Drosophila melanogaster: one gene and its partner. The protein of the gene in region 1 purifies or fractionates together with the protein of each later gene. This does not show direct contact. Each region holds a gene or a part of one and is shown in the gene's direction. Other genes may lie near its edges. The genes, in order: MME1 and Obp56h.

Evidence for each region.
Region 2: the proteins of MME1 (region 1) and Obp56h purify together in Drosophila melanogaster (affinity purification with mass spectrometry, with the first as the bait; one large-scale study listed by BioGRID). This does not show direct contact.

Annotation. Positions count from the first base shown.
Region 1 is NT_033779.5:7,025,367-7,029,547, forward strand, and holds MME1 (mitochondrial magnesium exporter 1), read left to right. Parts: upstream 1-2,159; 5' UTR 2,160-2,444; coding exon 2,445-2,561; intron 2,562-2,621; coding exon 2,622-3,054; intron 3,055-3,123; coding exon 3,124-3,300; intron 3,301-3,360; coding exon 3,361-3,533; 3' UTR 3,534-3,593; downstream 3,594-4,181. Other genes in the region: CG31908 (uncharacterized protein), read right to left, coding at 1-452, 791-1,269, 1,358-1,411. UniProt on the Drosophila melanogaster protein: Mediates efflux of magnesium ions from mitochondria, suggesting a role in magnesium homeostasis.
Region 2 is NT_033778.4:19,813,435-19,816,878, forward strand, and holds Obp56h (Odorant-binding protein 56h), read left to right. Parts: upstream 1-2,119; 5' UTR 2,120-2,142; coding exon 2,143-2,196; intron 2,197-2,254; coding exon 2,255-2,605; 3' UTR 2,606-2,770; downstream 2,771-3,444.

The DNA of each region.
Region 1 (4,181 bases):
GGAGGGCGGCGGACACTGATCCGCCCACAACAGGTGACCAGCTCTGCTGCGGATTGGGCGACGACTGGGGCGGCGCCTGAGCTTGCATCCCAACACCGCCCAGTCCCGATCCTCCGCCTCCGTACGGCGGCAACCGTTGATTGAAATGCTGCGACGGCTGCTGCTGCTGTTGCTGCTGATGCTGATGCTGATGTTGCGGGTTATGCGGATAGTAGTAGTTAAGGCCAGGCTGATTGTGCAGTCCCGGGAAGTAGCTGTTGTAGTTATTATACATCGGCGTCACTTGGGACATTTTCGGTGCCGAACTCGAGCGGTGCATTCCGCCTCCTGGATGGCTACTATTGTTGTTGATGACGTTGTTGTTGCTGATCGCAGAGGGGGGAGTGACAGGCGGCGCCGCGGACGAAACAGCCACACTGCTGCTATTGACAGCTGGCGTGATGGGAGTGGCCCTAAAAAAACAACGAATATGTGCATATGTCTGATTAAATGTGGGTTTCTGTTTAGATATCTCTATAAATTAGACCAAATCATAAAGAAATATTCTAGTATCAAGAAAATATTTATAACAAAGTAAATTATATATATAAACATTGGTCAGTCTTCAACTTCTGAGTGAAATTTTAAGATTAACTTGGATATCGGCAAGATCCTGGTAGGTCATTTGGCTCCACCTATTAGTGTTGCGATGGTAAATATTGGTCAAACATAAAAGTTATGCTTTCTTAGTACCAAAATAAATCAAATAAAGTAAATTTGGAAACTAAATCAACTTGTTATTGCAACATACGGTTTGTCATCCTCCGGGTTTTTGGCAGCGCCCAGGATGCGCAGCCTGGCCTCGGCGTACTCCTGTTCTCGCTGCTTGAGCGTCTTGATGGGCTGCTTCGGTCGCATTCCGTTAATGTCCCGCCGCTCCTCCGCCTGGGCGGGCCGCCGCAGTATCTTGACGGTCTGGTTGCTGGTGGGCGTGCAATAGGTGGCCGCATCGTAGTCATTGGTCGTCTTGTGCAGCACCATCATGACGGGCTGCTGCTGTTGCTCCTGCTGGGTAGATGAGTCAACCTCTGCTGGCGGTACTTGGGGCTTCCGGGCAATGGTGATCTGCCGTGGCGGGGGATTCCCGCCCCCGTTTCCACCACCGCCGCCACCATCGCCGCTGCTCAGGATTTGTGAGGACTCCTGTACGCTCTGCGGCCGTTGGAGCAATTTCATTTTGTTGACAGGTGGGTCGCTCGTCTGCAGCTTTGTTTGCAGAGTCATAGAGAGCTGGGCAAGAAAAAATAAAAAAAAAGGGGGGGGGGTGTTCCATTGGTTATCAGGTATGATGCTCAATCACATCGCGTGGCGCACTCACCCCATCCTCGTCGATTTCCTCCCAGTTGTCTAACACATCCTCGCCATGGGACATCGTTCGACAAAGCACGTTGCTCGACTGCTGCTAGAATATATACTTCGGGTTTCGGTTGCGTTTTCGCTCACTTTCTTCTCTTGCGCCTGCTGCTGCAGCTCGCACTCTTACTGATACATGATTCCTTCGCACTTTTATCAGACATAAGTTATGCGTATGTTGGCAAGCACACTTTTTTCACGAAATTCGCACCCAAGAACCCTACTGAAAAAACAAAAAACAATACGCAACAATTTGGCCTGCTGCTAATGTCGTTCTCGTTGTTGTTGTTGTTGCTTTCCGTGGGCTAGTCTTCTTCTTGCTTATCAGGTCACAGCAAAAGTGACAGGTTTTGTTCGTTTGCACGGGAACTGGAAAAGTGGTTGCACTTTACTGGCCCAACCAGCACTGCGCCAGAAGATACTTGGCCCACCCACCTTTGATAGCCACACTTGTTAACCATTTATTTTTAACGCTTTATTAATAAAAGAAGTGTGTGGCCGCCGCCCGCGTTTCCCTGCGAATGTCGATGGAAATTTGGAATCGCAGAATGTCCGATAGACTGTGTAATCGAACGGGAAATTTAAAATTTGTTTTGCATGTAATTTTCTAACAATTTATTTTATTTATAATGACAATGTCGTGCAGAGCAAACTTTAAGTTATAAAGCTTGAAACGCTAAAAAGAAGAATGAACATTCTGTTTAATATTTCGATTGACCATGTCATACTAATGACTGCAATCGATAGCTGAATGTTAAGCCAATGTTAGGTGTATGTTTTGTTAACATGATAAGCAAATCAGCTGTTCCCTCTGCAATTTTGGAACAGCTAATGAAATATTTGAAATAGATAAGAGGCACTATTGATCATGGAAATTATAATACCGCGCTATTCGGAATCACACAGCATTATCATAGGTCAGCAACCGCGCAGCAAGCAGATCACCAAGCGATAGCGTTCATCAGGAAGCCAGCGATCTTCAAGCACGTGCATTTCGTTCAGAAGCTGACGGAATTTCTCGGCGTGTTTACGTAAATAGTTAAAATTCAGCAATGGAGGAGGTCGAAATCAGCACAGAAAAGAAATCCAATCCCGTAAAGTCATTTATTGCGGGCGGCGTGGGAGGCATGTGCAATGTGCTCGTTGGCCATCCATTGGACACAATAAAGGTGAGCTTCAAAACTGTGTTTACAAATGGAAACGATGTAATGCTTTAAGTTCCACTTTAGGTCCGTCTCCAAACCATGCCCACACCTCCACCTGGACAGCCGCCGAGATACAAGGGAGTCATAGATTGTGCCGCCAGGACATTTCGTTATGAGGGTTTTCGCGGATTCTACAGAGGAATATCCGCTCCACTTGTGGGAGTAACACCCATCTATGCCGTGGACTTTGCCGTCTATGCGGCGGGTAAACGATTGTTCCAAACGGATGACCACATTAGGCTCACCTACCCACAAATCTTCGCCGCGGGAGCCTTGGCCGGAGTTTGTTCTGCCCTCGTCACAGTGCCCACCGATCGTATAAAAGTCCTTCTGCAGACGCAAACCGTGTCCAACGGACCTCTGCTCTACAATGGAACCATTGACACGGCCGCCAAGCTATATAGGCAGGGTGGCATTCGGAGCCTCTTCAAGGGAACATGCGCGTGCATTCTGAGAGGTCAGTTGTTAATTAATTGCTTAATATTATAGTATATATAATAGTTATGGATAATTTTAAAATTTACAGACTCGCCCACCGGTTTTTACTTTGTGACCTACGAATTCCTACAGGAATTGGCTAGAAAGAAGTCCGCCAATGGAAAGATTAGCACCACATCAACTATTCTGTCCGGCGGAACGGCGGGCATTGTGTTTTGGACTTTGGCCGTGCCGTTCGATGTACTTAAAAGCCGTCTCCAGTCGGGTGAGTCATCCAATCGCCAATCGCTTTAGTTACAATGATTTATAAATGCCATATTTTTAGCACCTGAGGGAACATACAAGCACGGCATTCGCAGCGTTTTTAGAAACCTCATGGCCACAGAAGGCCCAAAAGCTCTATTTCGCGGTATCCTGCCAATTCTACTTCGTGCCTTTCCCTCCACCGCAGCAGTTTTCTTCGGCGTGGAGCTAACCAATGATTTGCTGAAGGCTTAAATTTAAGAATTTGTATTTCAGAGAGGCTGTTTAGAATATTAAATATTGTTTACATATGCGGTTGAGTTTGCTTTATTTGGATTTCTGATATTCTATAAACAAAATGTTTGAAATATTAGCTATGCGCAGTAACCGAGGGATATTAATGGATTTTTAAATATAACGCCAATAATTGGTATCCGATTTTAAAAGTTAAATATATTTTACTTTACATGCTAAAGTATCTTTACGGTTTAGCTTGGCTTACATTTAAAATATACTTTACTTTACATGCAAAAGTATCTTTACGTTTAAGCTTAGTTTCGATTCATTCCAATTGGATGTGCAATCGAAAGCTTTTAAGCGGAACGAACAGATCGACAATATTAGAATTGGAAGTGCAGCGAGATAAGTACTACTGCTTTTAATCAGAAAACTACTTGCGGAGAAAGTTGGACGCTGGCGGGTCGCGCGTTTACTCCTATTTCGTTCAATTCGAATCGATACCTTTAAAAACACACCGGCTTCTGTGCGAAAAACATTTTGGTGTTTCCTTGAATATAATACGTTTCCTGAAAGAGACGTTGAAAAAAAACACTTGGAAAAACGGCGATAGTTTTTCAAAACTATTATACGCCCTGTATTTGAATGATCTGCCCGAGGAATTGG
Region 2 (3,444 bases), on another chromosome or scaffold:
CCATTTCTCTAGCTGCTCGGGCAGGACCTCAGGACTTCTTCCCCAACTCCTGTCAAAACATTGTGACACAGTTCTGCTTTCTTACAATTTGCCCCGCTCTTTATTTAGCCACGTTTGCTACGGCTAGCGCCATTCTCTTGGCTTATTAACGTTGGCCTTTGTTTCGTCCTGTCATCGTTGTCGTCTGCTGGCCGGAAAGGCAGGAGGAAAGCCAGGAAAAGTGGGAAAGGATATATAGAGAGAAGGAGACAGACAGCTGGATCCGAGCCATCCTGGCATCCTGCATCTATCGCCTTTTGTGCGGTGGCCTTTGTAATTTATAAAAGTCCACCGAACGGTCTTCGGCTATTCCTAATATCAGTTGAGCTGGCTGGCTGGATGGCTGGGGCATGTAAATCAGGTCAAAACAATGCAACTGACAGTGAATTGTGTTCGGTTGTCGTCTCCCCAGCTTGGCCCGTGCCACAATGACACATTCAGGACTTGAACAGTTTTACTTCATTACTGGTTACTCAGCAATTCATTCAGAGAACACAGAGACACACCTTGTGTCTGAGCAAGTGTCCCTGTTCGGGCGCCATCGCATTGCCCTTTTTATGGCCATGTCCTTTTGCTTATCCTGCCTGACTAATGACAAGCAGTGGTAGTCGAATCCTCTCCGCTTTTCCAACCGCTCGGCCTTTTGTCAACCACTTTGCTTCGACTTGGTAGCGTCGTCCTTTCGACCATGGACTCCTCTTTTTGTTTCTTGGCGAAAAACGAAAATCCAACTTACATCGAGGGGCACAGGGCCAAAGTGGGCGTGACCAGGCATAGAACGGAACTGAACAGGCTCCTTTTTCGACTTGGGCAGGTGCTCTTCTCTCCATAACAAAGGCATAAATTATTTGTGCTGTCAACATGGCTTCCACAGCCCTCCTGTAAATGGCAGTTGGCCTGCGAACTCGAGCTTATTGTTTGTCTATTGATTTGAATTTCCCCAGGAATTATGCAAGTTATTTTATATCTCTATATATACCCAACGCTCTCCCACTCGGCCGACAAATGTTTGTAGTATCATACATGGAGTAGGGGACTGATGGATGTTTAATTGTTATGGATATGCACAGTAGACTTAAGCAATCTGTAACTTCGATTAAAAACGTCTGCAGATGAATAGGTAGATATATGAGATCACCTTTTTAGATATTGATAGCTGTCAGATTGAAATAAATTGCTTCTGGCACTATAAAAGAATGCTATACAAAGTATTACACTTTGTGACACACGCTACTAATTTTATAAGTTGTTTTTTTTTTTTAATTTATGGTGTAATTAAATTCACGTTTTCGACTAATGAGACTTTATAATTACATATCTGTTGTAAGTAAATTGTCATTAAGCAATAACTAGCTGGCACTTTAAATAAGTGTAAAATAGAGCGAAGGAAATTAAATGCAATTCGCAATGACAACCTTATCTGATAAGGGAACATTTTAAGCACAGTACTAATAAAACTGAATTTTTAATAACTTTAATGATTCACAAATGGTGGAGTTCATGATTATCGTTTTGCTACAAATTGTTTGCTAGAGCTGTGCTAATTTGGTAAATTATTCAGCGCCAACTCTCGTCCGATGGCAGAATTCTCTGATATATTGCTGTGATTATGTGAGATTAAATGCCTTCTGAAATATCAATTGGGGATTCGGCAATTGGCAGAAAGGCCAGAACAAATGGTATGCAAATCAATTGGGCGAGTGTGAATGGCTCAAACAAAGGCCAAAAATTGTCAAACTCTGACCGCATCTAAATACAATAAATGAATAATTGATTTGTTGTGGGGGGCCGGCAACTAATTGCGACTAACTTTGCTGATTTGTGTAGCAAGTTTCTGTCCAGCCTGGCCATCGAATATGGCAAATGGACTGATAATGGAATATAATTACAATCGAAAAAGGGAAATTTGTTGTGTAGTAATTGTCCGTATTGTGCGTAATCAAATTTCGATTCATCTCGCAAAAAGTTTAATTGCCTTAATTGCATTCCCTCTGATTCTGATTCAGACTGATCTGGTATAAAAGCCGCAAGTTTCAATCAAATGACCAACAGTCGAAATTTTCGAGTAAACCCGGAACAGCTTTAACAAATATATACCTCAAAATGAAGTTCACCCTATTCTGTATTGCTCTGGCAGCTTTTTTGTCCATGGGACAGGTGAAATATGCACGCACTGTGTACATTTGTTTTTAAACCATGAATTTGCTTTTCGTAGTGTAATCCGGACTTTCGCCAAATAATGCAACAGTGCATGGAGACCAACCAAGTGACCGAGGCTGATCTCAAGGAGTTCATGGCCAGCGGGATGCAGAGCAGTGCCAAGGAGAACCTCAAGTGCTACACCAAGTGCCTGATGGAGAAGCAGGGTCATCTCACCAATGGCCAGTTCAATGCTCAGGCTATGCTCGACACTCTCAAAAATGTGCCTCAGATCAAGGACAAAATGGACGAGATTTCCTCGGGAGTGAATGCCTGCAAGGACATCAAGGGAACCAACGATTGCGACACGGCCTTTAAGGTTACCATGTGCCTGAAGGAGCACAAGGCCATTCCAGGACATCACTAATGCCTGATCCTGTTCGTCCTAGTTGGCTTAGTTGCATTTTGTAAAATAAACTTGTTCAAGTTTTACCAAATCAAAGATTATTTGCAGGGATAATAACAGGAATAACTATCAAAGCCTATATAGTTATCATTAAAATCGCAAAATCCTATTAATGCTAAATAATGCAATCATACAGGAGTTTTATTTATTTCAAGATACTACCTATCATAATCTAATCGGAATTCCAATCCAACTACATAGGTGCGTCACATTGAGCCCAAAACCCAGTTCAAAAGAAATCGCTCGGGTAGCCCAGAATGATAAGCTAACAACTACCAGAAATACGGAAAAGGCAGAGTTAAAGAACTCAACTCTCGAGATTCTGGGAAGCCGTCATTGACAACCTGTTTCCTTCGAGCCAACGCAATGTTGTCTACGAAAATCATTTGTCAATTTTAATAAGTTTAAAATCAAGATAATTAAAAGAGAACTTCGAAACAAGGGGGTGCCAGGCAACCGAGAAGACGGCGGATGGAATGCGGGATGTGGGGATGAGAATCCTTTCCTTTTCTTTGGAACACTGTGACACCAATTACCGCTAATAAATCATTTCACGTGTGAGACTCTCCCGCCTCTGCCTCCATTTACAATATATATATACCCATATGTACGTACCTTTCGGGTAACATATGAGCTGCGCTTAATGGCGAAAATCGGGGCGAACGGGGATTGTATGGGATCGAGAGCCAATGTAACCATAGAAGATGTTACATAAATCAACGCCGCAGCAGCCTGCAATGGAGGAAGACAAACGCGGTTCGTTGCACTTGTCCGCCGGTGGGGCGGAGTGGATTCGATTC